2 linked regions of the Rattus norvegicus genome follow. The protein of the gene in region 1 binds, or shares a complex with, the protein of each later gene. Links are inferred from orthologs where the notes say so. Each region holds a gene or a part of one and is shown in the gene's direction. Other genes may lie near its edges.

Region 1 (15,029 bases):
AGGAGCTACGGGGAAGTACACCAGAGGCAGCAGCGCAAGTGGTGCAGTGGGTGAGCTTTGCTGACAGTGACATCGTCCCTCCAGCCAGCACCTGGGTGTTCCCCACCTTAGGCATTATGCACCACAACAAGCAGGTACGCTTCAGAACTTGGGGAGAGAAGCTGGGGCAGAGTTGGGGTCAGAGACTACGTATTGGGGCTGGGAAGTAGAAGAAGGAAAAGACACCAGGAGTTGTGTGGGCAGTGCAAAGACTGAAGTGGTTACCATCAGTATGGTGGAAATAAAGTCATACTGACCATGAAGAAACTTAGCACGAGATTCATTTCTGATAGATTTCAACTGACCCCAGAGTCTAATGATAACAGGGTGGGGGTTGAGTCAGTGCTGATGAAATGGCTTCTTTAGTTCTGTTGGTAGGTGGATATGAGGAAAGGGACTTGCTGTCCACTAAGTTTGAGTATTCAAAACAACAGGCCACTGAAAATGCCAAAGAGGAGGTGAAGCGAATCTTGGGGCTGCTGGACACTCATCTGAAGACACGGACTTTTCTGGTTGGTGAGAGAGTAACACTGGCTGACATCACGGTTGTCTGTACCCTATTGTGGCTCTATAAACAGGTAAGGTTTGTGTCCCATTTGACAGGGGTAGACCTGTACTGGGGTACCCGGTTCCACTTAGGACAGACCAGTTAATGGCTGTAGGAATCCCAGCATTGAGAACTGTGACTGTTTTCATCTTTTTTTTTTTTTTTTTCTTTTGGTTCTTTTTTTCGGAGCTGGGGACCGAACCCAGGGTATTTTCATCTTATTGAAGATGGGTGAAAGGCTGGATGTGGTGGCTTATATTTGTCATCCCAGCACTTGAGATGCTGAGACAGGAGGACTGCTCTGGTATAACTGTAGGCTGTGTAGTGATATCAGAAATAAAAAGCAAGATGGAAGCTGGGAGAGGCAGGGACGGTGACTCAGCAGCCTTTGGAGGCAGACTCAGGTCTGTGTCCTGGCTTCACTGCAGATGCAGTGGGACAGGAATCCTCATAGCTCTGCTTATCTGTGACACATTCAAGGTGATATTCGGCTTAGACCTAGCTTTTCCAGCATTTTTGAGATTTCCGTTTATGTGCATTTGCATGTATGTGCACGCTGATCCCAAGGAGCTTGACTTGTGAGCTACTGTGGGGGCTGCGAATCAAACCAGGTAACCATCTCCAACTATCCCTTGCCCCTTAATTTTTAAATATTACAGATTTTCAGGCAGCAGCTCTGAACCCATTCTGGTTCAGAATTGTAGTCCAACGAGAACAAAAAAAGAGAGCTGTTGTTTACCAACCGTGTGCCTCCCAGGGTCGTTACAGTGCTTCATGTTCACACACAGCTAGTGGGTGCTCAGGGATGATGACCATTACTGCAGAGCTTGCAGTCCCTGACTGACTGGATCTGGGATCTGCCTCCATGGCAAGATTTACCCTCCTACCCTCTCCTGTTTTGGCAAAGTAAAAGATGACAGGGGCTGGAGGGATGACGAGTCAATAGTTAGAAATGCTTGCTGCTCTTCCAGAGGACTCTGGTGGATTCTCAGCACCCACATGATTCCTCACAACTCTAACTCCATTTCCAGAAGATCCGATGCCCTGTCCGGCTCTCATGAGCGCTAGGAATGCATGTGGTGCTTAGACAAACGCACAGGCAAGACACCTATATACATAAAAATTAAAAAATGAGATTTTTTTTTTAAAAGACGCTAGTGTGGGGCTGAAGCGATGGCTCAGCACTTTGAGTACTTGCTTTGGCAGAGTTCTGTGTTCATTTCCCAGTACACAAGTGGCAGCTCAGGGAGGAGCCAGTGTCTTGTGACTGCGCACAGACAACTTGAAAGGAAAGCACTAATAAACATACAGAGAGGATAGTAAGTTTTTCAGTGAAGGCTTGAAGGGCTGTTCTGTCTGTCTGCTGGGCACATGCTGTGTTGCTGAGCTACTCTATCTGGTCTTGGGTTTGCTTGTGTCATTAATGCTATGGTTGCAGTGTGGAATGAGAGTGGAGCCCAGTGATTTACCCAGCATGCTCTATGTTCCATTAGCATCACACATGAGGTGTCTTTTTTTTTTTTTTTTTTTTTGAGGGTTATTTAGCAAAGTGAGTGTAGTGGTCACCCCACTCGACCCCATTTGGGTGCTGGGTTGGAGCGCAGTGTCATGTGGATGCTGGGTCACATTTTCTACTACTGAGCTAGATTCCTAGCCTGGTGCTCCTACATGGGCTCTATTACAGCCTTTTCAACCTTTTTTGTTTGTTTGTTTTTTTATTTTTTGAGACAAGGTTTCTCTGTAGACCAGACCTTTTCAACTGTTGTTGAAATTTTTATTGGCATGAAATTTTAAAAATTAAGAGTAGATGAAAGAGCAAAATATTAAAGCATTAAGTAGCATAATGGTGCATGAAGGAGTGGGAACAGCCATCCTTTTAGACTGAGCTGTAAAGACAGTGGAGAAAGCTGCTGTAATCCCAGCACAGCAGGATGGAGACAAGGAAAACAAAAACAGGAGACTGGAGAGATGGCTCAACAGTTAGTGGTTGAGGGCACTGGGTTAAGGGCTCTGGCCACTCTTCAGAGGACCAGGGTCTAATTACCAGCACCCATATAATGGCTCACAGTCATCTGCAACTTCAGTTCCAAGGGATCCTAACACTGTCTTGTGGCCTCAGGGAACACTGCACATATGTTCTGTACACGTAAATGTAGGCAGAACACTCATACACATAAAAACGGTGCACTTTTTGGAAAGGAAGGAGTCCTCCAGGAGTGTACTCATTTAAGGTTCTGATGTCAGGGCCTGGAGAGGAAAGTGGACCTGAGGTAAGGGCCTTGTGCTCTGGTGTGACTCTGTTCGTGGCCTTTCCATTGTTGATTTTCTTTGTGTTCCGTCCTGGCAGGTCTTAGAGCCTTCTTTTCGCCAGGCCTTCCCCAATACCAACCGATGGTTCCTTACCTGCATTAACCAGCCCCAGTTCAGGGCCATCTTGGGGGAGGTGAAGCTGTGTGAAAAGATGGCTCAGTTTGATGGTAAGTCTGAAGACTGGGCATGGATAGGGTCAGGGTCCAGTTTGCTCCTGTCGACCGAATGATTTGTGTGGCCTTTGGCTTTTTTGTTCACCCACAGAACATAGTGTGTCGCACAGTAACTGACATTACATTAAGATGCAGTGCTGTGATGATGTGTGCTTTGCTCCTTGAGGGTGTTTGGTTGTCCGAGCCATCACTTTCCCTGCTTGCTGCCTGGTTTGCGGGGGCGGGGGAAAGAAAGAGGCTGCATATTTCCTTTCCTCCCTCCTTTACAAGCTAAGAAGTTCGCAGAGAGCCAGCCAAAAAAGGATACCCCGAGGAAAGAAAAGGGCTCACGAGAAGAGAAGCAGAAGCCCCAGACTGAGCGGAAAGAGGAAAAAAAGGCAGCTGCCCCAGCTCCTGAGGAAGAGATGGATGAGTGTGAGCAGGCATTGGCTGCTGAGCCCAAGGCCAAGGACCCTTTCGCTCACCTGCCCAAGAGGTAAACCTGTCGGAAGGTGTTCTCAACCTTTGTTCTCACACATGTCTAGGGCTGCAACTTCAGGCTGTTGAAATACTGATGGTGCAAGTGCAGTCCAGGTCTCATGCAGTCCAGGTCTGGTTCAGAGGCTGTGAGGTGGAGGATGACCTTGAGTTTCTGACTGGTTATCTTGCCTACCTAAAGGCATGTACCAATAGGGAAGTACTGCTTTGGTTTGTTTTGGTTTGTTTGTTTGTTTTCCAGACGGTTTTTCTGTGTATCCCTGGCTGTCCTGAAACTCACTCTGTAGACCAGGCTGGCCTAACTCTCAGATCCATCCCTGCCTCTTGTCCTGCATTAAAGGTGTGTGTCATCACTGCCTGGCTCCCCTTTGGTTTTTTTGTTTTCTTTCTTTTTTTTTTTTTTTTTAAGACAGGGTATCACTGTAACTGGTTGACCTGGAACTCTGCATAGACCAAGCTGGTCTCAGAGATCCCCTCCCTCTGCCCCTCAAATCTTGGAATGCACCCTGCTGGAAGTTCCTTTTATTTGTTTGTATGACTTTGTGCCCTGGGTGTATGTGTAGAGGCTAGAGGTCAACTGAGATGTCTTCCTATATGGCTTTCCCCTCTTTTATTTTTCCTTTGAAATCTCGTTGAATCTAGAGCGTGCTGTTTCTGCTGGGCTGGCTGCTAGCACCCAGGATCCACTTACGTCTAGCCCTCCGCTCTAGCTCTGGGGACTAACATGTTAGCCACTGTGTACAGCTTTTGTGTAAGCGCTGAGGAGCTGAATTCAGTTCCTCATGCTTGCATAGTAAGCACTTTACACACTGAACCATGTTTTCAGCTTCTTGGGATTTTTTTTTTCTAACAAGGCAAAAAAAAAATCTAGCGTATCTAATATATGCTGTTGTAATGGAGACACTTCTTATACACAGTAAGTTGGTTTATATTATGGACAGGAAATAAAGAGAAAACAAAATCTTTGAACATCTTTGCTCCTTCTTCTGCCTTTTCTCCTTACAAATATTTTATTTTTAAATTTATGTGTCAGTGTGTCTGTTCTTGCCAGCCATAGAGATACAGCATTCATGTGTATGGAAGTCAGGACAATTTGAATGAGGTCAGTTGTCTCATCATGGGGATCAAAGTCAGGTCATTAGGCATCTTGACCCACACTGAACCATCTTATGTACCTTTGATGGTGGTTTTTTTTTTTTTTTTTTTTTATTAACTTGAGTATTTCTTATATACATTTCGAGTGTTATTCCCTTTCCCGGTTTCCGGGCAAACATCCCCCTCCCCCCCATGGTGGTTTTTAATGTCTATTTTTTTTGTGTTACAATGATAGTGTTTTTTCCTTAGGACTTTTTGTTTGCTGTTGGTTGGTTTGTGGGAGTTGTTGTTTGTTTGTTTGTTTTTCTTTTTAAAGATTTATTTATTATATATAAATACACTGTAGCACTAGAAGAGGGCATCAGCTCTCATTACAGATGGTTGTGAGCCACCATGTGGTTGCTGAGAATTGAACTCGACCTCTGGAAGCGCAGCCAGGGCTCTTAACCTCTGAGCCATCTCTCTAGACCTGGGTTGTTTTGTGGACAGATTCTAATGTATCAAAGGTTGGTCTCAACTGTGTAGCTAAGAGTGACCTTAACTCCTGAGCTTCCTTGTCTCAGTCCCAGGTTCTAGATTTCTGACATGAGCTGCCACAATTCCCTTCCCTTATGATAGCTGTGGCTGTCCTGAAATTCAGATTTGCCTGCTTCTGCCTTCTGAGTGCTGGGATTAAAGAACGTTTTATCAACATCCCTTAGGCTTTTTTTAATGTCAAAATTGAAACCAGCAATTTAACTGTGACTTGTTCAAGGTTTCATTCTGGTCGTGTTTATTGTTTTGTGGTTTTATAGCGTGTAGGGAGTTGCAGTTGGGGCTCACATATGCTTAGGGACATAGTCAAAGTGCTATACAATCTAGTTACACCAAAGTTCGAGCTCTTTGGGGCAAGATCTTGTTATAGTCCCTGTGCTGAGATACAGACCATACTTGATCTGCATTATTTGAGGAACTTGGAGTCTAAAGAAATTTCTAGGACTGGAGAGATGGCTCAGTGGTTAAGAGCACCGACTGCTCTTCTAGAGGTCCTGAGTTCAAATCCCAGCCACCACATGGTGGCTCACAACCATCTGTAATGAGATCTGATGCCCTCTTCTGGTGTGTCTGAAGACAGTTACAGTGTACTTATATTTAGTAAGTAAATAAATTTTTTTTTTTTAAGTTTCTAGTCATACATTTTGGCTGGAAGGAGGATGATTTGAGGCTTTCTGGCTCCTCAGATGACTTTCCTCCTGGACATTTGGAGACCAATTCGGGACCTGTGGTTAAAGGGCAGACTTCTGACTTTGCTATGAAGTAATAATCTTGGACAAGTTTTGCCATCTAACCTCAGCTGTGAAATGAGAGAAAGATAGCAATATAACTCAGGAGTTGTGAGAATGGGGTTAAACAACAGGATCCTTAAACTATAGCTTTTGAGTCAGGGTCTTTTCTAAACCAGCTGGCCTTGGCGCTTGGCATGTGTCTGAGGATGGTGACCTTGGACTCTGATCCTCTGTTTCTTCCCTCCCAGGCACTGAGTATGGCACACGCGTCACCTGCACTTGTAAGAATCTAACTGACTTTGTTTAGCAGTCGTGGTAGGTCGCAGCACAATCTTGCAGTATAGACTACTTAGCTGTGAAAGTTTCTTTTCACATAGCATCCCAGGCAGTTTTTGAGCCTATGATCCTTGTTACTCAGTTTCTCATGCTAGGATTATGCTCTACTTACCTAGTAAGAATTATTCCTAGTGTGTTGTAGTATTAAGTTGTTACACACAAAACTTAGTGACTCAAGGCTGCATCTATGGAAACACAAAGGAAAGGACATGAGAGAGTAGTTATCCCACTTACTGAGATCATAGGTTTTCTTCAGTCAGTGACCTTTTTTTAAGTTTCTATAGATTTATTTTTATGTGTATGAGTGTTTTGTCTGCATGTTTGTATATGCACCAAGTGTGTGCATGCCTAATGCCCAAGGAGGTCAGGAGAGGGTAGAGGAGGTCAGTAGAGGATAGAGGGTAACATCCTCTGGAACTGGAGCTAAAGATGCTTGAGAACCAATTTATAATTGGAGAGAAGAAAAAAGTAGGACCGGAGCCATGGGGACAGAATTCCTCCTGTGCCGGTTAGCTTTCTTGGCAGCTGACCTTGAATATCAGGTTATTTTGAAGATAACCTGGACCTAAGAGCTTTTCAGTATGCAAACTTGTTAATGGACAAAGAGGAACTAGAGGACTTAGGTGTAAAGATTTGAGGTGTCTATCTTCTGCTTGCATTCTGGTTCCAGCCTATGGAAGGCCTGTGTGGTGGGTTTCAGACTTTGAGCATTGACTTGTGTCTCCTGGTGAAAGTCCTGGAGAGGCTAGAGAGAGAAAAACAGACTGCTTTGCTCTGAGCCACCACCTGGGGGCAGCAGCCAGCTGTCCTTACTGGGTTCATGGCATGCTTGAGTCTTGGTTTTCACAGGGTCTATAACAAGATCTTGTCTCAAAAAGCTAGGACTGGTGGTGTAACTAGAATGTCACACACTTTGTCTAAGCATGTGTGAACCTCCAAGTTTAATACCCAGTGCTCTAAAAAAATGTATAAAACCACAAAACAATAAACCTTGAACAAATCATAGTTAGAATGCTGGTTTCAGTTTTACAACATTAAAAGGCTTTGGCTCACCAGATGCTCTGGGTCAGTCTATGCATGTCAAGACATGTAGACAGAAATGTCTTAGCTCTTCATATCACGCCACCTGTAGCCCCCCATTCTCTTCACTCATGCTGTTATAAGTGTCAGTCACTGCATTGCATTACAGGGACCACTTCCTTCATACCAGGAACTAAGTGAACACCACCCGCCTAGAACTGCTTTGCAGTCTCAGTAGGACTTCTTATGGACTCCTGTGTTTCCTCTTTTCTTTAGTACCTTTGTGTTGGATGAGTTTAAGCGAAAGTACTCCAATGAGGACACCCTCTCTGTGGCGCTGCCATATTTTTGGGAGCATTTTGATAAGGATGGCTGGTCCCTGTGGTATGCTGAGTACCGCTTCCCTGAAGAGCTCACCCAGACCTTCATGAGCTGTAACCTCATCACTGGTGAGAAGAGGAGGGGTGGATCTAGGAGGAAGAAGATCAAGGTGGTGGTGACATGATTCCAGAGACTAGACAAGTCTCCCCTTTCCCCTCCAGGGATGTTTCAGCGATTGGACAAACTGAGAAAGAATGCCTTTGCTAGTGTTATCCTGTTTGGAACCAACAACAGCAGCTCCATTTCTGGGGTTTGGGTCTTCCGAGGCCAAGATCTTGCCTTTCCGGTAAGGATGGTGCTGGGGGAGTGGGCTATAACATGGGAAACTAGGAGTCTTGAGCTGTGGCCAGTGAGTATGAAGGAAGAATTCTGGGTGTGAACATAGGAAGTATGCTCACATCAGTGCGAATCCTGGCATCTGCCATCATGTCTGAGCTAGAATTTGGAGAGAGATGGTGTCTCAGTGTCCAGTGTCTAACCACATGCTTCTGTGCTGTTTTGTTATTGGTTTTTTTTAAACCTTCAGCTGAGTCCAGATTGGCAGGTGGACTATGAGTCATATACATGGCGGAAACTGGATCCTGGTAGCGAGGAGACCCAGACCCTCGTTCGAGAGTACTTTTCCTGGGAGGGGGCCTTCCAGCACGTTGGCAAAGCCGTCAATCAAGGCAAGATCTTCAAGTGAACATGTCTTGCCAGTCACCTAGCTGCCTGCACCTATCCTTCAAGGGAGATGGGGGTCATTAAAGGAAACTGAACATTGAACTTTTTCCTGTCCTGCCTCCTTTGTGACTGATGGCTTCCTCAAAGTTTTTGCCTATGCCTGAGACATCACTGTGGCCGGGCAGAAGTTTTCAGAAGAGCAGAAGTAGAGGCCTGGCCTTAGTTTTGTCTTTATTGCCCTGCTTCCTACAATGATGCTGTTCTAGCTGGGGAAGATGAGAAACACAGGGTGGTGGCATGGGCACAGTTGACCAATTCTCAGAAGCTGTGTTTCACACTAACCATTGAAGAAAGTGTCTGCTGACCACGCTGAGCTGAGGGGAGCTCACGGATGCAGAGGCATTTCTATCACAGCTGCTGCTCTGTGTGGGTTGGGTTTCTGCTGTAACCCAATATGTAGTCCTCATGCTGGAGAACCTTGTGTAAATGGTGCTGTATTGTCATAGGGCCTACATCTGTCCAGTGCAGTTAAGTTCTCTACAGAATATGGTTAGATAGATAGGGAAGTCTCATTTCCTCATAGAAGCCTTGTAGGGTAGGTAGGTGAGTAGCTGGATGTCACTGTCCAGCTTAAATGCTGCAAACATTCTAGAAGACCAGCCACTTGGGGCAGGCGCTGGCTTGTTAGTCCTTGGCTGGCTGTGGATCACTCCAGTCATTTCCTTTGTCGGTGTGCACGTACTGCATGATTGTCCAGGTACCCTGGAGGCCAGGGGAGGGCATTGGAGCCCCTGGAGCTGGAGTTACAGGGAGTTGTGAGCTGCCCAGTATAGGTGCTAGGAACCAAACTCAGGTCATCTGGAAGAGCAAGTGCTGTTAACTGCTGAGCCATCTTGTAGCCTTTAGAGTTCGTTTCTGAAACATTTCTTATTGTGTAGTCCAGGCGGGCTACAGGTTTAAGACTCTGCTTCAGCCTCTCCCAAGTGTTAGTATTATAGGTTTGGGTGCTTGGTATCCATGCTTTCTAACAGGGAAGCTTGGGGACAGTTCACAGTAGCTCTAGGTAAACACATCTGAGGTGGAATCTGGCTGCTGAATCCAGGAGGTGTGGCCTGAAGCCTGGAATACCAAGTTGTGATTATTTCCTAATACAACCTTTCAACAATTTTGGTTTTTGTTTTTGTTTTTTTGCTCCATACAGGCTCTTTCTAGGCCAGGCCAGGCTAACAGTGACCCTTCCTTCTTCAGCTTTCCAAGTACTGGAGTTAGAAGAATGCGCCTCCATATCTAGGTGTTCCCAAGTTTTAACAGCTCACATTAGAGATTAGATCCTAGGCTGGGTAGACCCGCAGTTGGTAGAGTGCTTGCCTGGTATTCATGCTGCCCTGTGGTCATTCCCCTATACTTACTACATAAATCAGTTGTGGCCTGATGGCAGACCAGGGCCAAGGCTAGATTGCCTCAGATTTAAACCATCTTCAGTATTACCAGAACCATCAGTGCTACACAGTAAAACTCCCGTCTCTAAAAACGTTTAGGTTTGGTGCCACCCACCCTTTAAGAAGTAGAGGCCAGCCTGGGCTACTTGAGAACAAAAAGCAAACGAGTTAGAAACTAGTATTTGCAGAAAGTTGACCTCCATCTGGTACAGGATTTTGTGTTTGTTTTCTTACCCATCCCTTAGTCCAGGCCTAGGAGAAGGGTCTTGGGAGGAAGAAGAATGACCTTACTAAGGGATAAGACTACTGCGAAGCTGGAACCTGGAACCTGCTGTTGGTGTTTGTTTGTTTGTTTGTTTGTTTGTTTGTTTTTTAAGAGTGGATGGGTTAGTGGGAGTGGGAGTTGTAGTTTAGAATCCAAATAGCAAAGGTGGGTTGATCCTTACTCCTGTGCAGTTTGGCCTCAGGCATTCTCAGTACTAGATGCTGGTGTTGGGTGTTGCTGGGGCCTCACTGAACCTGTCAGACTCCTAAATTCTGTTTCTTACCCCCCCCCCTACTTTTCTTGTACAATCTCCACTACTTTTTGGTGTCCTTTTCATTTTTCCAATAACAGGATTGTAAAAAGACCATCTTGTGTGCTGCATAAAGGGTAGGTAGGCAGGCCCGGAGGCCTGACTGTTAAAGGATAGTTCTTCAGGGTGGACCAGTGTTTGGGCAGCAGTCTGCCAAGCAGCCTACATAATCTGGCCTGGAGGTGGGCAGAGACCCTCACCTCAGCTCCCTTTCCTCTCTGAGCCTGCAGGCAGGGTGACTCATCTGTACATCCTGCTTCAGGCTTCTGACCCTGGCGGCTTGCTTTGCTGCAGGGTGAAGGGTGGCCAGTGCACACGGGTTGTAGATCTGAGAAGAGCTTATGGAAGGAAGGCTTTGGGATTGGGCCCCTAGGAAAGAGTTAACAGGAGTTTCTAAGGGGTGGGGGCTGGGGTGGGGGTGGCCTTGTGCAGAAAGGGGAAGCACATCTGGGGTTAGTTTGGTTCCACCCTGCCCTGGGGAGGTCTGAGTCACCACACTGCCAGCCTGGCCTTCCCCCATCTCAGTTTGGACTGGAGGCATCTTGTCAGAGCCTAGTCCTTTCTACCATCAGCCACAGATACAAGCATGAGCCTGTTACTGCTCTGGTGCCAGGGAGCTTCTCTGCTCCCAACCACTGTCGAGAGTTGGCAGCACTGCCCACAACAGGCGGCAAAAGTTAGGGGTCAGGGGAGAGGAGATTGGGAATGGATCAGGCTGAGGTCTTTGGAAGCTAGTGGAAGGAGGCCATTGTATCCACTTAACGCAGAATCTCAGAGCTCAGGAAACTAGAGCGGGGTCGGGGCCTAGAGTTGCAGTTGCCTGAGTCTAGAGTGTGAATGGGAATGCAGAGCCTTGGTTTAGCTTGCAGATAAGCCAGTGGACACTAGTCAGAAGCAGCTCTTAGTTAGCTTTGTTGGCAACTCTGCATAAAACGCTTGTTAAAAAGTAAAGATTCTTTAAAATTCTGTGAAGATAGACCTAGATTATCTTTTTTTTTCTTCCATTCATGTCCTACTTTGAATTAGATCGGGACAGCTGCTGTTCTCCCTGGGTTGGAGTCAACCCACCAGCTGCCTACATGCCCTAAATGTGCCACTTCCCCCTTTGAAAGATGCAAGTGTGTGTGTTGAAGAGTGTCTTGAGGGCCCCACCCTGAAATGAATAGTTTCTGTGACAGCTAGCACTCCTTAGAACATCCCTCCATATATATCAGATGGCTTGTGTCGGGAGGCCGTAGCCTGCCCAGGCTCTCAAAGTGGGAGGTCAAAGGTATAATATTCCAGTTTGTTCTGATCCTCTGTGTGGATGAATGTAGTTAAGGGTACCCACTCTACTCCCTTCCCCTAATGCTGTGCCACTGAAATATTGATGCCCCTGAAAGAGAAGCTACCACCTGCTCCTGTCTGTGTGCACTAAATCAGGCTGGCATGGATCCCAGAGTAGGCTGTCTCTTAACTCTAGTGGAGTTCTGGGATGTCCTGTGCTCAAGTGCCTAGGGCTTGGGGTAGAGATCCTTCTCCAGGGGACATCTGCAGAGCATCACTAGTCACTTTAATCACAAGAGGAAATATACCTAGGGTACCTAAGTAGTGGTTAATCTTGGATATCCATTCTTTGGAGCCTATCGGTAATTGTGTTTTTTTGGGGGGGGGGGAGGGGGTTTGAGGGTTTTTGAACACGTGATAGAGCAGAGAGTGACCTTGTACTTCTATTCTCTTTCACCTTAGTGTTAGGATTACAGGCGTGTGATCCTGAACCTGGCTTCTATGAAGCTGGAGATTGAACCCAGGGCTTCGTTTGTGCTAAGAAAGCACTCTACCAGCTAAGCTACTTCCCCATCCCTGATACTGCACAGACCAGGAGCTGAGGTGGTTAGGCTATTGGACTATTTTCTGATGGGATCTTCCATGGAATGTGCCTCTATTTCCAGCTGTCCCATCCCCTTGCAGCAGCAGCAGCAGCAGCAGCAGCAGCAGCAGCAGCAGCAGCAGCAGCAGCAGCAGCAGCAGCAGCAGCAGCAGCAGCAGCAGCAGCAGCAGCAGCAGCAGCAGCTGTCATGTGAAGGCCTCTTGCTGGCTCAGCCCTTTTGCAATTAGCTGGCTGGTTCTGCCAGCATTGGGGGTGGACAGTGAGGATGGGCAGAGCTAGTGGCAGTTGGGAGCATGGCAGGCAGGGCATGAGGGAACTGGCGGAGGCTAAGGAAGACTGGGTTTGAGGGCTAAGGAAAGGGGTTGCCTAGGTTAAATGGGAGGAGTAGAAAGCAGCTGAACAGGAAGTGGGAGCTGAGGTGGGACTGACAACTTTGTAGATGTAAGGGAGAGTGAGTGTTTGTTGTAGCCGTAGCCGGACCCTAGCCAGTCATCAGGGAGAACCTCATTTCCCCTGACTCAAACTGCAGAGCCATAATGCACTTTGCAGCCAGTCCTTCACCATGTGTGACTTGACTCATACGTTCTGAGGGCGTTGGCTTCCTTAAGGGGGGCAATGCCTCTGCCTGGCCCTGCCCCACCCATCCCCATTCATTTCTACTGTTAGGACAGGTAGTGAACACACGCCTTTTATCCTACTCTCTTCAAATAGTAAGTATCCATTTCTTTGACTCAGTCTTACAGAATGTACCTCACTTGTGCTGTCAGTAAGACCATCTCCAGTCATTCTTTATCTCACATGTCAATGAACTGGAGCCCAGAGAGGGGAAATGACTTATCCCACGTACTTCTTGTGGCCACATACTGAGTCACCTTTGCTCTTAACTAGGAGAACGCTCCCCTCAGAAGATGGTGGTAATTACAGTGGATACAGAACGCAACTTTTGTAGGCCAGGGAGTAGGTAGCTTCCAAAGGTTCTAGCAGCCCAGAGCTGCTAAGAACTTAGCCCAGTGCTAAGAAGCCTAGAAGTGAAGCAAGTCCCAGGGCAGGGTCAGCTACAGCAATCTAAGTCCTGGGGCGGGCAGAGGGCATAGGGTGTAGCAGAGGCAAGACTGTGAGTGACAGGAACCTCAACTATGTGGTGACTCAGGCTCTGGGCAGTCTAGGCCCTGCCTTCTCAGCCTGATCTTAAACTGAGCTTGGGGAAGTGTGAACAGAAGAGGGAGGGAAACCCAGGCTGGCATTCCTTTCCCCCAGGAAGGCACAGGAAGTTAGAAAGCGGATTCCAAGACTGGTGTTCCCCAATGTCTCTGCCCCTCCCTGTCCCTTTGGAGAGGGAAAACAGGCTGGGCTAATTCTACTTACTCTAGCTCCCTCTCTTTGCTCCTATTTAGAACACTGCTTGCCCAGTCTGAGTGCCTGCCTTCTTTCTTATCCCCCCTTCTCTCTCTTAAGCAATCAGGCTTTTTTTTCTCTCCCTGATCTCTAATGGCACCACCATGCATGGAGTCTCTCCACTGCTGGTGTAGGTACCCATCCTTCCCTCTACTTAGTTATTTTCCTTTCTCTGAATAACCTAAGACTTCTGTCCCTCAAGACACCATCATCATTCTTGTTCCCTAACCAGTTTTAACTTGAACTCCAGCTGGTCCTAAAGGTTTCATTAGGGCCCGGTGCCCTGGAGGATTTCCCTGTATTGGTCTGAGCAATTCGGGAAGTCCTTATTTGAATCTGAGTTACAGGCTGAGATTTGTATTGAGTTGGGGAAAAGTAATCTTGTTTTTGGTTTTGTATTTTGCTTAAGAGGGAAGAGTTCAGAGTTTGAGCATTGCTTAGGAAATGTTTGGATTCCAGAACTAACCAATTGGCTGGGAAAGACAATAGATTAGCAAGAGCTAAGAGTGAATGGAGAAGCTCCTGCTTAACAGGGTCCCCTAGTCCTGGGTGGGGCTTGGCGGGTGGAGGTGGGCACTGGGAGAACCCTGTGGTACTTAGAAGGGTTGCCAGTCATTTTTCTGTGTATAAGGGTGCCACCCAAAAGGACTTTCAATGGGGGGAGGAGTATGTTTCTAAACTGTGAACAGCAAGCTTTGACTTCCTTTCTAGGATCGCACTTAAAAAGCTCTTGGTTTTTTTTCTTTAATGTACTGGTTTCAGAAAAAGGGACTGTGGCAAGAAGGGAGGGGAAGGGGAATCCCCTGGCAGAGGGCCCATCCACAGAGCTCCCCTTTGTGGTTACTATGGAAACTGGCATAATAGGAACAAAACATAGTCATGTTGCTTGGCAACCCAGGAGCCTAAGGTTCATCACACACATACTCATGACTCCTTCATTTCAGGGAACCCCCCGAGGCTAGGAGCGTCATTCCTGGAAGCTGGGTTATCCCAGTGACAGTCCTAGAGCTCTTGTAGATTTCTCTGTGAATTTGGAGGACTGAGGTGTGGGGCACCTCTGAAGGGTGACACAGTGCCACCTGTACAGCTGACCTGAACCCAGGCCAGTGTTGACAGGAGTCTGAAACCTTGAAGAAAGCAGGTTTTCTTTGCAATGTTAGGGCAAAGGAGATTCTTCTCAAGTGTGTGTGTGTGTGTGTACACTTGTGTGCATGTGTGCAGGAAAGACAGGCTTGCTCCTGCGTCTGGTGTTGGGTGTGGGATAGCAGAAATAGACAGTTTTCCATTTTCTGAACAGGAAAATTTTCTGGCAAGGAACCTAGAAGACAAGGTAAAAGATTCTGGCCATTCCTTCTGGGCTAAGTACCCAGAGGCCAGGGATTCCGTCCTGCTGAGTTCCCTTTTACCTACTGAGGAGTCCTTGGGCCCAGGATTGGATGACAAT
Region 2 (15,683 bases), on another chromosome or scaffold:
ATGTCACTGTGGTTCATGTCCCCCCCCCCCCCCCTTTGTGAAGCAGTGCCTAGTCAGAGGCACCTGGGATATGTGAGAGTGACACTGGCCTCTCAGTGACTAGGTCTTGGAGATTAGTTCCCAAAAAAGGGTGGCCCAGTCTCTTGCTTTTCCTCTTCTCATATAACAAACAGAGGCTTACTAAATGTGGTTGCTTGACTTTGGGGTGCCAAAACTATGAGCTAAATACACCTCTTTACTTCATAAAGTATTGAGACTTGGGTATTTTGTTATAGCATCCCCAAAGAAACTACAATATATTACCCCTTAGGGATAGTCTATTAGTCAAAGCAATTTTTTATTCTGCTCTGAAATTGGACTTTTTTGTTGTTGTTTGAAATGGAGTTTCTCTACTTGGCTGTTCTGGGTCTCTCTGTAGCCAGAAGCAGAGGTAGGTGAATCTCTGGGTTTGAGGGGGTTTGAGGCCAAGAATGGGCAGACTAAATAATATACATACTCTGCTTGCCTCTGCCTCCCACTTGGGAGGTATATCTACCACCTGGCTTTTTTAAAATTTAAAAATTTTTAAATTTTTGTGTTTAATACTAGCCAGTGCTATAAATATGTATCATTTAAATTAAAAAATTTAAGACCAGAAAAGAGCCCTAGGATTTAGTGAGATAGCTCAGTAAGTAAAATGCTTGCTATATAAGTCTGAGAAGCAGGAGGACTTAAGTTTGATCCCCAAAGCCCATATCAAAAAGCTGGGCATGAGGCTGGAGAGATGGCTCAGTGGTTAGGAGCACTGACTGCTCTTCCAGAGGTCCCAAGTTCAAATCCTAGCAACCATATGGCAGCTCACAATCATCTGTAATGGGATCTGATGCCCTCTTCTGATGTGTCTGAAGACAGCTACAGTATAGTCACATACATAAAATACATGTTTAAAAAAAAAAGTGGGCATGGCGGTGCATGCTTATAATCTCAGCCTTGGGGAGGCAAAGACAGGCGTGGATATCCCTGGAGCTTGCCCACCTAGCATAAGCAGAAAGACCTGTCTGTTTAAAAAAAAAAAAAGAAAAAGAAAAGGAGACTCCCTGAGGAATGATACTGGAGGTTGTCCTCTGCCCTCCACAGACAGGAACATGTACACATACACACACATCTTTGTAGCCGGGCTACAGCTATATACATCAAAATGCAATTACATAACCTAAAGTGAACTTTTTCTATATAATTCTTTGTCAAGTGAAAACGGTGCAGCATAAGCCCTTCTAGTATACATTACACACTCACCATGCATCTTAAGATTGTGTCTTAAGACACTGACAGCTTAAGAAACCATTTTGAACTCCCAGACTTGCTATATGGCATTTCTGTTTATATAATATTTCCATCAATGTATTTTATTTGAAATGAATCACTTATGTGGTGATTTGAATAGGTTTGGCCCCCACAGATTCATGTGTTTGATGCTTGGCCATAGGGAAAGGCACTATTAGGAGTTTGGCCTTTCACTGTGGGCAGGCGCTTTGAAGTCTCCTCCTATGCTCAGACTCAGTGCAGAAGAAACCCTCCTGCAAACTGCCTATAGGAGACGGTCTTCTCCTGGCTCCTATAGCACCAAATCTGCCTGCACGCTGTCATGTTTCCCACCATGATGATAATGGACAGTTCCTCTGAAACTGTAAGCCAGCCCACTTAAGTTTTTGCCTTTATAATAGTTGACTTGGTTATAGTCTCTCTTCATAGCAATAAAACCCAAACTAAGACAACCTACATACAAAAAATATTGGAGTTATAGCAGTAATGATTCTAGATAAAGTTTGCTGCAAGATTTAAAGTCTTCTCCCTCCCACAGTATAATATGGAATGCCAGATATTGTGTACCTTTGGAGCTTTCTCAATCTCTACCAGGCACATCCTGCAATTTCCAGCTACAGACAACCTTTCATGGTAACAGAATCGAGGGATTTGCATGCCAACCTTCTCGCAGGCCTAGAAGACAAAATATAGCTTTAGAATAATTTCCTTGGATCTTGTTCTTACTGAAACATAAAGGATGAAGACATCTTTTATTATTTCTGCCCCATTACCCACTTATCTTAACCCCCTCCTTATAAGTTCCTCAAGAACTCTTGCTCCATTCCAAACTGCCAGCTGCCTCAAAGGACATAAATCCCTCCACTTTATGCATAACGAATTAGGTAAGTCCTCACAGTCTGTGGTGAGTCTTTCCCATTATCTGCTTTGTCCACAGTCCACAAAAGCTCCCCTGTCAACCTGTCCCAGTGGCTTCATTCCTAGACTTACTTTCTCTTTCGAGTTACTGCCTCATCTCACATCTTACGGCTGGCTAGGATTTAGTTTTACCTCTGACATCTCTACCAACCCCCAGCTATCCAAAATACTTTCCATTGTACCTAGAATTTTTTTTTCTAACATTCAGTGCTTTCATGTCTGTCTATGTCTGCCACAGTCCAGAAATGAGAAAAAAAAATTAACCCACAGTCAAAATAAAGCATCATCTGCCTATGACCAAATTTGTTATTTCTGGAGAAATTTAGAGAAATAACATACTATCCTTCACTTACTTGCTTTGCAGGACACATTTCTATATTTAAACTAAACAGTATGAAGGAAATAATTTTTAAATATAAATCAGGGAACACACAGATTCACAAAAGTCATTACCTGCAGGACAGTGGTTCCTGGTTCCACCATGACAGACTGACCATCAACAAATACTTCAATCAAGTTACTTGCTGCTGTGCCAGTTGATCGAACTGGTTATCAAAACAATAAGGTGAGAAACAAATTAACCGAGTTGAATTCAAAGAGCTTAATGAATTAGCTAAATATAAAAAATTATCATTTTTTACTAGTCTTCTCTTTCCAGATGCAAATTTTGTTTTTCATTTTTGTTTGTTTCTTCCAGTCAGGGTTTCTCTCTGTAGCCCTGGCTGTCCTGGAAAGACCCAGCCAGACCAGGCTGGCCTTGAACTCAGAAACCCACCTGTCTCTGCATTCTGAGTGCTGGGATTAAAGGCTTGGCTAAGACACAAACTTTTCAAGCACTAAATAAGCATAAAAGCTTTTTTAACTCAACTCTATCAAACACATGGTTGTTAGGTTTGGTTTTTGCATTTATAAAGATAATCAAAAATACTCATGGGACTCGAGAGATGGCTCAGCAGTTAAGAGCACTGACTGCTCTTCCAGAGGTCCTGGGTTCAACTCCCAACAACCACGTGGTGGATTACAATCTGTAATGGAATCTGATGCCCTCTTCTGGTGTGTCTGAAGACAGCTACAGTATACTTTAATATACATAAATAAATCTCTAAAAAAATTTCATGAATATACAACAAAAACTTACCATATCCTTTAGGAGACTTAGAAAGGCCTATCAAGGCCCTTTTTACAGGTATCCTTAACATGATGGCTAAAAGCAATAAAACAAAGATTAATTTTGTAGAAGAAAAAGACCCACCTACTTATAAAATTCCTGGTACTATTTTATGGTTTCACATACATTATTCTAGGAGAATATTCGGATTCAATGTTTTCCCTCAAGTTGTACATATAATATGCAGTCCCAGAAACACTAGCAATACAGTATCAATATCAGACAACTGAGAAGTAGTTAGCAGATAGCAGACTTTGGGTCCTTGCATAGATAGGTAAGGTACAGCTGAGCTACATCTCCAGCACTAAACTTGGGCTCTGTAATACAAAGTAAAGGGCGGTTTTGATATAATCAGAACAAAGTGGTAAGAGCTTGGAATACAGCTCAGTTGGTATAAGAGTGTTTGCCTAGCACTGAGGAAGTTCTAGGTTCTAATATCAGAACAGCATAATCCAGATTATATGTGTGCAATCGCTGAATTTGGGAGGTTGAGGCAGAATCAGAAGTATAAGGACATCTTCTGCTACAGCAAGTTTGAAGTCAGGCAGAGATACAAGAAAAAGAATTAAGAATAAAGTAAAATAAGTTGCAAGAATAACTCTTTGTCATTAACAGCTATCTAAAATACATAAAATACCTTTCTGCCTTCATCTCCCACCAGTACGTTGGGGATTTTGTTTTGTTGAGACAGATCTCATTATTAATCTGCTTCTGCTTCCTGGGTGCTACCACGACTAGGTCCAGTATGCACTCTCTCATGATATATATCATGATATATATTTTATATATGACCCTAAGATATTCCGAGGTAGCTCAGAAGTCAAAAGCCTTTGATGCATCTTTGTTCTCTCACAGTTCTACAATCTGCTTGTGTTATGCTTTTATCTTAAACGCACTATGAACTCTTGGCATTTTCCTCCTTTCAGTACCAATTCCCAAAAGCTAATAAAAATAGGTTTTAAAACAATGCTTCTACATTGCTTTGGGTGTTTTAGAGGCCTAATCTCAGTTACTTGGGACACTAAAGCAGCAGGATCCCATGTTCCCAGACTGCCTAGACCTTGAGTGAGTTCAATACTAACCTGGATAATCTAGTGAGACCCTGACTCAAAAATAAAAAGGTTAACTGGAGAGGCTCAGCAGTTTAAGAGCACATGTTGCTCTTGCAGAAAACCTGGTTTCTGCTCCCAGGGCCCAAACAAAGGCTCACAACCATCCACAATTGTTACTGATGTCCTCTGCAAGTGCCAACACACACAGAGCACACACATACAAGCAGGCAAAGCACTCATATACGAAAAGAGAATAAGCTGGGCATGGTGGTGCACACCTTTAATCACAGTGCCTGGGATGCAGAGGGTGGCGGAGCTCTGAGTTCAAGGCCAGCCTGGTCTACAGAGTGAGTTCTAGCAGCCAGGGCTACAAAAACCCTGTCTCCAAAAGTAAAGAGAGAGGGGGGGGGGAGAGTATGTGTGTGTGCGAGAGAGAGAGAGAGAGAGAGAGAGAGAGAGAGAGAGAGAGAGAGAAGAGAGGGAGAGAGAGGGAGAGAGAGGGAGAGAGAGAGAATAAATTATTTTAAAGTTTTTTTTTAAATCGAAAGTAAAGTGAAGGATGGAAATGTGGCTCAGTGGTACCAAGTGTGAGACAGCTCTAGGTTCAATAACCAAGACTAAAAAATAATTTAAATGAAAGGCCAGAGAGATAACTCAGAGGTTAGCATTGTCATCCATCACTGAAGGAAGTGAGGGCTAGAAGGAAGCAGTTTCTTAATTGAGGTTCCCTCCTCTCAGATGATGTTAGCTTGTGTCAAATAGACATAAAACTATGCAGCACAGTCTCTAAAATCCTTTTCTACAAATTTCTGGGATTACAGATATGTTGTTTTTCTGTTTGTTTTTACCTTTTAAAGATAGTAAAAAAAAAAAGTGATGAGTATATCAACATTAAAAAAACAGTAAAAATGTTTCTCAACAGCAGTAGCAGTACTAATAGAAAATAGTTCAAAAAACAGATTTTTTTCCTTTTTAATAATTAAAAAAAGTGTTTGTTATGTGTTTTGTCTGCATGTATGTCTATTCACCTCAAGGAGGCCAGGAGAGGTTATCAGATCCCTTGGAATTGGAGATACAGACAGCTGCTGAGCTGCCCTGTAATTTTAGGGAATCAGATCTAAAAGAACAGTCTTAACCACCCAGTCATCTTTCCAGTCCCAAAGGTATAGCCTAGGCAGGTCTTGAATTCATGATCCTCCTGTCTATACTTCTTGAACATACGCTGGCATGTGCTACTACAACTGGCTTTTAGCTGTGTAGAGACCAGGCTGGCCTGAAACACACAGAGATTCACCTACAGGCCTCTGCCTCTTAAGTGCTGAAATTAAAAGCATGTACTACCACTTCAGATAAAACAGAATCCTAAACATTAAAGTCTGTAGTTATTATAGATGATATATAATTAAATATTTCATTAGCTTATAATTTAATTTATTTAATTAATTCTTTAAAAATGGAAATCTACAGTTTACAAACTGAATTTGCAGATACCGAGTCTGTTATCTACTAGGTATTGGTTCTTTACCTATAGAGCAAATCTACACTGTTTCTTAGGGTATTATTACTAGGTCAATAATAAAAACAAAGAAAAAAATTGCAGTAAAAACAGCAAGGCAATCAGTAATGGCTATTAACAATCAGTTGTACAGCGATCTTTGTTTGTGGCCCTTTTTCTTATTAAAAACACACCATGTATATATTTTATTATTCTACTTACTAGAGTTGGACAGAGCAGGTAGCTTTAATGCAGGACCACTTCCTTTAGGCTGCACTGGACTATATCCGTAGTACAAACAACAAACAAACCCACAGTACTAAACTGAAGGTGAATCATCAATATTGTTAGCTACTGGACTGTAAGTTCCTTGACAAAAAATTTGGCTATTTCTCTTTTCTGAAGACTAGCAAGTCCCCAAGTAGTTTTGCCACCAAATTCCAGAATGAGCAGTTATCTATCTCTGTTTTAAATGGTACTGATGAGGCTACGCACAGCAGTCTATGCCTGTGGTTGCAGCACTGGGGAGCCTAAAGCATGAGAATCAGGAGTCTGAGGCCAGTCTGAGCTATATACATGGGACCTCATCCCACAAAAACAGCCTGCACTGCATAAAGAGTCTGAGGATAACCTGGCTTATGCACTGTACAGGTTGTTTTGCTGTGGTTTTTTTACTTTGGTGGGTTTTGTTTTTTTTTTTTTTTAGATATATCTCATGTACCTCAGACTGGCCTCAAACTTGCTATGAAGTCAAGGATCAACTTGGACTCCTAAACTTCAGGCTTCCACTTCCCAAGCAAGGGGCAGAATTAGCAACATGTACCACCATGTTCAGCTTCGTATATGTTTTATTGTTGTTGTTGACATTCATTTACTTACTGGATGAAGGTTACCATATACACACAAGGGGGTGGGGCAGGCGCATGAGGAAGTCAAAGGCAACTTTTGAAAGTCAGTTCTCTCTTTCCATCAATGTGGGTCCTGGAGACCTAACTCATGGATGCCAGGCTTAGCAAGCATCGTTACCAACTAAGCTATCTCACCAGCATGCATTTCAGAATATGCATTTCAGACATGGTATCTATCAAATAGGAACAGTAGAGTCCTTACCTAAGCATGCACAAACTCCTCCATTCAATCCTGTCCCAGCCTCCCCCGTCTAGGATTACAGATAAGCACCACCACACCCTGGCATATCTCTACTATCTTGGCTGTAACTAATAAAAATAAAGGGCGTTGATGTTCTGGCTTAGAATAATAGATTCAAAGATGCAAAACTCAGTGGGGGCTGGGGAGGAGATTCCCAGAAATTTTTGTTTCATCTTAAGACATGAATCTTGAGAACACTGCAGCTTCCTGATTTGCAGTGGGACTCAGAGCTAACTTTTTAAGATTCACTTTTAATTTATGTGTGCATGTGCTTGTCTCTGTGTGGTTATGTGCATTTATAAGTGCCGGTGCTCACAGTCCAAAAGAGTGGCAAATTCCCTGTAACAAGGCAGTTGTCCCCCTTCTGACGGAGACAGTGGGAACCGAACTCGGATCTACTCTACAAGGCACTCTTAACCACTTGGCTATCTCTCCAACTCCGACTGAGCTTTTAGTTTTTGTCATTCTCCCCGTCAGTGGAATGAATAAAATACTACCCAACATCATCAATGAACTGGACAAAATAAACAGTAGTGTGGGCAGTTTCAAGATAGCAACTAAAGAGACGCCTAATGTTTAAGTCTTTCCTGACACTGGGAAATGACCCGGTCTCCTCCAGACAGGGCCATCTCCTGTCTTCCCCTGCAGAGAGAAAGTAGCTAGCAAGCCGGAACTCCCAAAGGTTTCCTGATCATCTTGCTTATGCTCCATCAGACCAGAAACTATGGCTAGTAACCTTCACCTGCCGGTTCTCCGGGGTTCTGGAGGTGGCGGGGCAGGAGGTGGTGCCCAGTCAAGGACAAGAGGAGAATGACTTGTTTGACCTAAAGAACACAGTCCTGCTAAGAAAGAAAACACCACTCGAAGCACTTCAACTTTCTCTCTTAAACGCGTCCTCACCTTTCCTCTAGAGCTCACCAAGTTGTCCCGCTGATTTGTCCGGATCCCCCTGACCCCTCAAAACCCAGCCGCTAAGTCAATATGGCGGCCACGGCTAACTCCGTCAGCCTGACCTGGCGGACGGAAAGCCAGGAGGGACAACAAAGCCAGATTCGACAATCTCCCCTCTTTGGACCTGTTCGGCAATTTCCGTCAGCACGAGAGGGAGCCGGGAGAAAGCGGAGAAGACAACTTGGACCTGCAGTTCCGCCGGAAGTAGCCGAGGCCTTGAGGCCGAATGCTTTCGTTCAACTCCGGCTCCTCAAGGGGCGTTTCCTTTAGTTTTAGAATCCTTGGAGGTAGGCGTTTTAAAATGCATCTTTTATTAATTTCCTTCCAAACACAAGGAAAAGCCCGCGGACGACCTGTGGGTCGTCTAATTCACAAGACGCAGTTTTACGTGAAGGAACGAGACTAGTAACGTACTTTGACCTTTAACCTCTAGCCGGTGCAGTGGAGGGAAACGCCTCCGTCTCTATATAAGGACTTTTCCGGCCGGTCCCGGCCCTTTTTCTCCCTCAGCGCTGGCCGCGGGCTTCTAGCGCTCTTTTCCTCCGCTCCCGGTTACAGTCGACGCCATGGGTTTCGGAGACCTGAAAACCCCCGCCGGCCTCCAGGTGCTCAACGATTACCTGGCGGACAAGAGCTACATTGAGGGGTGAGCCGGGAGCCCCGGGGGCCACGTGGCGCGGGCTCGGCGGGAGGGAAGCGGGTCGCCGGAAACTAGGGGAAGCCGAGTTAGGTCTCCCGAGTCTCGGATGCCACTGGAGCAGGACCTCCCTGGAGGGGCTGCCAGCGCAATAATTGAAATAATGCTTGCTCTCCGTGTAACTACGTTCAGCCGGTTCTTCCGCGTCCTCTGACTAGTTAATTTAAACCTGTGGCAAGCCCGAGGTAGCCTTTGAGTTCTCCCAAGTGGTAGAGAATTCTTGGCTTGTACAGATTGAAACATATTTTGTGCACTTCCGATTAGAAGCAATTTAGGTTAGCCCTGTAATAGTTCCCACTAGTAGTTAGTTTGGCGGGTATGGGCTGTGTCATTTACCAGTTAGGTGTTTGTGTCTTTTCTTTTAAAGGTGCGTGTACTTGTTTTTGTGTTACCTGCAGGTACGTGCCATCACAAGCCGATGTGGCAGTATTTGAAGCAATCTCTGGTCCACCACCCGCTGACCTGTGTCATGCTCTGCGTTGGTATAATCATATCAAATCTTACGAAAAAGAAAAGGCCAGGTAAAAGTATCATTGTGCTACCTGGATTTTCGCATGGCAAAGTAGGACCGGGGTTAAAGTTGCTTTAGCATTGTTGACCTAGTGTAAACCAAATTTCTTTGTGACCTTAAATTAAGGCCAACAGACTGAAGTTCTCCATTTTCTCACAGAACAGGTAGAACATGGACAGCTGCAGTTTACAATTTTCCCACACCTCATTAATGTGTTTTGACCTGGGGGAGGGGCACCACTGGGTTGTGAGGGTAGCTGATTTAATTCCTGGCCATTCTTCTAAAACTAAAGAATGGAAGTGGGGATATATAATGAATCTCATTCAGATGTTCATTTTGGAAGAGTAAACCATTGAGTACTGAATACTATGTCTCCTTTAAAGTCAGGTCATTTACCTGGGGTTGTGCTAAGGTTAAGTAACCAGAAGAGATTGTGAGTTACTGGAAAGGAAGATTGTGTGTTTTGCCCAGAAAGAGCTTTGACACCAACCTAATGTTGTAGAATGCTTGTTTTTCAAGCTTGCCGGGAGTGAAGAAATCTTTGGGCAAGTATGGCCCTGTCAGTGTGGCAGATACCACAGGAAGTGGAGCAGCAGATGCTAAAGACGATGATGACATTGATCTCTTCGGATCTGATGATGAGGAGGTATGCCTTTCTCTTTATACAAGTATATTGATAAGGCAGACAGTCTTTACAGCATGACTAACTGGTGCTGTAGCCACTGCCCGGACATGGATCCTGCCTTGGCTTTATTGTCTGCCTTTAAAAATTTATCACTGGGTACATGATGAATAAAATCGAATCACCATCTTTCGGCTGAGCTCCTGATGGATTTGCTTTTTTCTGATGTCCAGTCATTTTTGTGATGACCTTGTCACTACATTTAAGCAGAAGATAACCAACTTTGTGAAATGTTTTTTTCTCTGTACAGGAAAGTGAAGACGCAAAGAGGCTACGAGAAGAACGCCTTGCTCAGTATGAGTCAAAGAAAGCTAAAAGTGGGTAACTTACGGTTTATCTTCATTGTTAGTAATGTGAATGCCTTTGTCTAGTGCTTGGCCTTAAAGTGGGTTTTCCCCCAGTTAAATTGAATGGGTCAATATTTTATTTACATCTTCCACAGCTACTGGTCTGCAGCTGTCTTTATGGTAGCAGTTGTAGCATTCCTCTGTGGGAAAGAAACTGTTACACAATTTAATGCCTCTTTCTTAGCCACATAGAAAGAGGAATATGCGTGACAGACACAAGGCGAGTTGTGTACGTTTTTGGCAAGAAGGTGGCCTGTTTCAAAACAAACAGATTTGACTTAATGGTGAAAATGTTGAGTATTTAGGTGTCGTTCATTTTTTCACCTTTTTTAGAGCCTGCAGTTGTTGCGAAGTCTTCCATCTTGTTAGATGTGAAGCCTTGGGACGATGAGACAGACATGACGAAACTTGAGGAGTGTGTCCGAAGCATTCAAGCGGACGGCTTGGTGTGGGGCTCCTGTAAGTGATGCTTGTGTTTGGGGGTTGGAATTTGGGCATCTTCAGTTTTCCTATCACAAAGAGTTTCCTAACTTTTTTACCCCTTGATCTTTTTTAGCTAAATTGGTTCCAGTGGGATACGGAATTAAAAAGCTTCAAATACAGTGTGTAGTTGAAGATGATAAGGTTGGAACAGATATGCTGGAAGAGCAGATTACTGCTTTTGAGGACTATGTACAGTCCATGGATGTGGCTGCTTTTAACAAAATCTAAATCATCCTTAAGTCTGTGCACTTAAATAAAAGCTTGAAAGATAACCCTTGACTCTTCATTTGCTGTGAGAAATGATATACTTTGTTTTGAAGAAAAGGTGAAGTGGTGGGGACTTGGGCTAGAAAGAGAAATTTTGCTCAGCATTTCAAACCACTTGGGCCATGGTTATCCAGACCAACATGAAGTTGCCTTTTAGCCAACACTATCGTGTCATAGATATAACTAAAAAGAAGATAAAAAATGTGTTATTAAAAATTTAGCGGGGTTGGGGATTTAGCTCAGTGGTAGCTCAGTGGGCCTTAGCAAGCTCAAGGCCCTGGGTTCGGTCCTTAGCTCCGGGGGAAAAAAAATTAGCAATTAATTGTCACCCGATGTGTTCAATACCTTTTTGAAAAGCAGAATGAATCTTGGGCCACTAAGCTGACTCCGAGGGTGCTTACCATTTGGTTCAATCCCTAAAGATAGCGTTATGTCCTGAGAGGAACATTGTATAGGTTTATAAGGTGGTCAAGTGTGGAGGTCTTTCCATTGAATCTGGAAATCTGAACCTAGAGCTGCAGGAAAGTGCTGGGATAAGCAGTGTGCTAAAAGCTACTTGTTGGAAACATTTGTGGGAGATCATACTGCTCAAGAAGTACAGCATGGGGGGCTGGAGAGATGGCTCAGCGGTTATGAGCACTGACTGCTCTTCCAGAGGTCCTGAGTTCAAACCCCAGCAACCACATGGTGGCTCACAACCATCTGTAATGGGAGCCGATGCCCTCTTCTGACAGGCAGGTGTAGATAGACCACTCATATACATACATAAAACATCTTTAAAAAAAAAGTACATCACAGCATTTCAGCTTTGTGTTAAAAATTTGGTACATACAGTAACTAAATGTATTTACCATAATTTTTAAAGTTTGGGGTTTGTGTTCTGTGAGCCAGGTGGTGGTAGTGCACATTTTTAAACACAACACTCAGGAGGAAGAAAAATGCAGACTCGTGGGTTCAAGGCCAACCTGAGTTATAAAGTCCATGAGAGTTGTGTATACAAAGAAACATTGTCTTAAAAACAAAGTTTTCTGTATTTTATAGATAGGACTCTAGAAGAATAATTCAGTTACTTCAGTCAGACAGTACTCTTGCTCTCAGTCTGGTTTTATGTTGACTACCTTCAGTGAGGGAAGCTTCACGTTCATACATAGATTCAATAAAACATGTACTAAGGAGAATATACTTCAACAGACCCGTCCTAAAGTAGTAGAAATTTTTTCCAGGTTAGAATCATGAGGGCCAGCAGAGGGCAGTATTGTCAAAAGCCTGAAAGCAGAGAAAGGGTTAGAGCAGAACTGTTAGAGCCTGCTGCAGAGCATGTCAGAAGCATGAGAGCAGGCTGGGGGCCGTAGCAGAACCAAGAGAGCTGGCTGGGGCCCTGTCAGAGTCACGAGAGCCGGCAGAGGGCACCACTTGGTATTCTAGGGCTTCTGGAGAACAGACAAAGGTACATTTTATTCATCTTATTCTCGTGTCTCTGTAAACAAAAGAACAAGATAGAATTGTGCTGTCAGTGCATGCTCTCTGAAGAGCATCTATACCATCTGGAAACATGTTTATAGTAATCTACACACTTGTACTTAGCTAGAATTTTCCATAATCATGATGTTCTGGAGGACTAAGAATGAACACAAAATTGTAGACATATTTCATAAAGGGGCAAAGAGTCTGTCCCCTTCCTTTCGTTCTGAGCCAGCCTAGTCTTGCTTTGGCCAATTTGATATGGTGGAAACAATGCTGTGTGTATGACATTCATAACTTGTAAGAGGACTGTGGATGTGGCTCAATAGCAGAGCACTTGCGGCTTGCAGCTGGAAGTCTGGTGACCCCCGGAGAGGTCATGGGGCAATTACAAGAGGAAGGACAAGATCTACTGATTAACTAGCCCAAGTATTCCAAGATAAGGCCATTAGCATTATTACCTACCTGAAGCTCCAAGCATAAGAAGCAGGGTCAAATCACCCTGTCTTGTTTATATTCCAGAAACTCAGAATTGAGCTATACTAACAATAAATTGTTGTTTTAAGCAACTTACTAAATAAACAGTTAACAGGAATGGAAGTTTTAAATCCATAGCCAACTAATACTTTATAGTTTATGGAAGCTTGAGTCCAGCCTAGCCTACATAGTGAGACCTTACCCCAAACAAAAGGGTTGGCTTTTTTTTTGTTTGTTTGTTTGGTTTTTTTGTTTTTTTGTTTTTGACTGAAAAGGTGATGATGAGGGAGCTGGGGAGCTGGCTCACCTTAGCCAGAGTGCATTCAAGGACAACCTGAGTTCAACTCCTGGAACACACATTAGAGAAAGCACTGGCAATCTCGTTGAGGTGTAGCTAGGCAGATCTCTGGCACTTGCTGGCTAGCTATTTTAGCCTGGTTGGTGAGCTCTAGACAACTGAAAAACCCTGTCTCAAAAAAAAAGAGAGTGTCTCCATGAGAAAAATGATTTAGTTACAGTTTACATACATGTACATCTATAAATACATTAACATACACACAAAATGACTCAAAAGCAAACCAGAAAAAAAGTCAGCCTGATAGTTTTTCAACAGAGATGATTAATATGATGTGGTATACACTATAAAAATTATTTAATCTGATACATATATTGCGTACATTAATAGACGAAGGCTAAAAGAGTGGGGGAAACTTTTAGGGTGTCAGTATCAGAATTGCCACCAGAGGGCAGGCAGAAAGATACATGATTTAAATTGCAAGGAAGAGATCCTGCCTTTTATACCCACGCAAAAACGTAACCGAACAAAAATACAATCATTTTAGATCGGAACAAATCCTAATCTGAAAGGATTGGTTATGAGGCTCCCACAGAAACTTTGCACTGGTTTTCTGGGCACAAAATACTCATTGGGCAGTTTCTAGGAGAGACAGGCTCTTGGTTTCAGCACTCCTGAGTTGTTCACTCACTGTACCAGAGCAACTGGCCTCCCACAGTGACCGCTTTAGTACCTCGGCAACAGAGGCCCTGAATCGAGCTTGAAACTTCTTGCTTATTAGAACGTAAAGGATGGGGTTCAAGCAGCTGTTGAGGAAGGCCAAGCCAGTAGAGAGAGGGATTCCGCCCTGCAGCACGTTCTGGAAAGAGCTGTTGTGATGAATGCTGAGTTCCCAAATGCTGAACAGGTGAAAAGGAGTCCAGCAAACCATGAAGGCGATGACCACAGACAGGATCATCCAGAGATGCTTACTGGATATCAGAATGTTTTGCTTCTTCGTCTTGAAGATGAGGCACAGGTAGCAGGAGCTCATTGTCAGCAAAGGCAAGAGGTAGCCAAAAAGGAACTTCACCCAGGTCAGAACGTGGTGTCTCATCAGGGTGAGCTCATACTCCTGGAAGTTGTTATAACAAATAATGCGGTTGTTGACCTCCACGGTGTCCCGGAAGTACAGGGTAGGACCTCCGAGCAGAGAAGCCAACAGCCAGACAAATAGAACAACAAGCAGTGAGTTCTTCAGGGTCCGGTGCGGATGAGACAAGCCAGGGTGGATCAAGTGAATGTAGCGGTCCAGGCTAATCACTGTCAAGAAGAATACACTGGAAAACATGTTCAGTTGGGCAATGAAGGAATTAAGCTTGCAGAGCCATCGGCCAAAGGGCCAGTGGAAACTCAGTGCCACATAGGAAATATACAGAGGCAGGAAGAGAACAAAGACGAAGTCTGCAATGGCCAGATTGAGAAACCAAAGAGTGGTGACCGTCTTCTTCCACTTGAATCCCATGAACCAAATGACGATGGCATTCCCTGGAATTCCCAGAACAAACGCAAGGGCATATAAGAGCAGGGAGATCCAGTGAACGATTCCCGGGTACACATTCTCCTCTGCGTCAGGTTCCTGGGAGTAATATTCTAAGGCATAGGAGTAGTTGTCCAGTTCTTCAAATAGCATTTCCCTTGAGACTTCCATGATGATCTTATAGGTGGAGAGTGAGGAAATCTGGAAAAATAATGTTTAAAGGAAAAAGAAAAGCTTAAGAATTAAGTTTGATGAATGCAAGACATAAATTGAAAAGTACAACATTTTATGACTAAGACATGGGTTCTTTTTGGAAGGGCTTGTGTTTATACTACAGATGTCTAAGTCCCAGGCTCACAGATTACACACACTGGCTCAAAGGTTTTGAGAGTTCATCTGTGATTCAGTAATTGTTACGTGGAAAATGATCTACTGTACAGGTCAAGTCCTCTGCCCTTAATACTTGTAGCCCATTATGGTGCATTGAAAGAATCTTGACACTCAGCAGGCATTTATTAGGCTCCTAGTATGCGTTAGTTTATATCAGATGCTAAGGGAAACAGATGGATACCTGCACAGTGGTGAGTTCCAGATCCGTAATCGTAGTCCTGACTTCTTAAGCTCTAGCTTGAGAAAAAATACATTCTGGATCCTTCCTTTTCCAAGATACCAGTAAGACTGAAGATTTTGACCAGAATGTATTTTAGGCCCAGGATATTTTTTTTTGTCATGTTAGGAATTAAATTAGGGGCCTTGAATAGGCCAAGCAGACACTCTAAGGGCTAAGAGCCCAACCCTAAGGATGATGGGATTGCAAATACAGCAATCAGAGTTCTATATCAATATAGCTAAATGGTTTTTCAGTTAGAAGATAGCTTTACTTTTGTTGTATTTTGACATTGAGTTTCT

What was found.
Region 2: the proteins of Eef1g (region 1) and Eef1b2 are in contact, whole or in part, in a crystal structure (PDB 5DQS), measured with the Homo sapiens proteins. The link is inferred for Rattus norvegicus from reciprocal best matches to the Homo sapiens genes EEF1G and EEF1B2. Residues at the interface, in NP_001395.1 of Homo sapiens: Leu146, Lys147, Thr148, Arg149, Thr150, Phe151, Glu155, Arg156, Pro185, Asn186, Arg189, Leu192, Thr193, Asn196, Gln197, Pro198; in NP_001032752.1 of Homo sapiens: Ala20, Asp21, Lys22, Ser23, Tyr24, Tyr28, Val29, Cys50, His51, Arg54, Asn57, His58, Ser61, Tyr62, Glu65.

The regions. Positions count from the first base shown.
Region 1 is NC_086019.1:215,292,014-215,307,042, forward strand, and holds the end of Eef1g (elongation factor 1-gamma), read left to right. Parts: coding exon 1-134; intron 135-473; coding exon 474-617; intron 618-2,933; coding exon 2,934-3,063; intron 3,064-3,339; coding exon 3,340-3,544; intron 3,545-7,538; coding exon 7,539-7,711; intron 7,712-7,804; coding exon 7,805-7,929; intron 7,930-8,169; coding exon 8,170-8,328; 3' UTR 8,329-8,408; downstream 8,409-15,029. UniProt on the Homo sapiens protein: Probably plays a role in anchoring the complex to other cellular components.
Region 2 is NC_086027.1:72,065,565-72,081,247, forward strand, and holds Eef1b2 (elongation factor 1-beta), read left to right. Parts: upstream 1-8,526; 5' UTR 8,527-8,601; coding exon 8,602-8,681; intron 8,682-9,130; coding exon 9,131-9,253; intron 9,254-9,762; coding exon 9,763-9,889; intron 9,890-10,020; exon of another isoform or gene 10,021-10,098; intron 10,099-10,175; coding exon 10,176-10,242; intron 10,243-10,359; exon of another isoform or gene 10,360-10,491; intron 10,492-10,605; coding exon 10,606-10,731; intron 10,732-10,828; coding exon 10,829-10,983; 3' UTR 10,984-11,027; downstream 11,028-15,683. Other genes in the region: Ndufs1 (NADH-ubiquinone oxidoreductase 75 kDa subunit, mitochondrial precursor), read right to left, coding at 1,870-1,977, 2,674-2,765, 3,359-3,419; Cmklr2 (chemerin-like receptor 2), read right to left, coding at 13,884-14,945. UniProt on the Homo sapiens protein: Catalytic subunit of the guanine nucleotide exchange factor (GEF) (eEF1B subcomplex) of the eukaryotic elongation factor 1 complex (eEF1).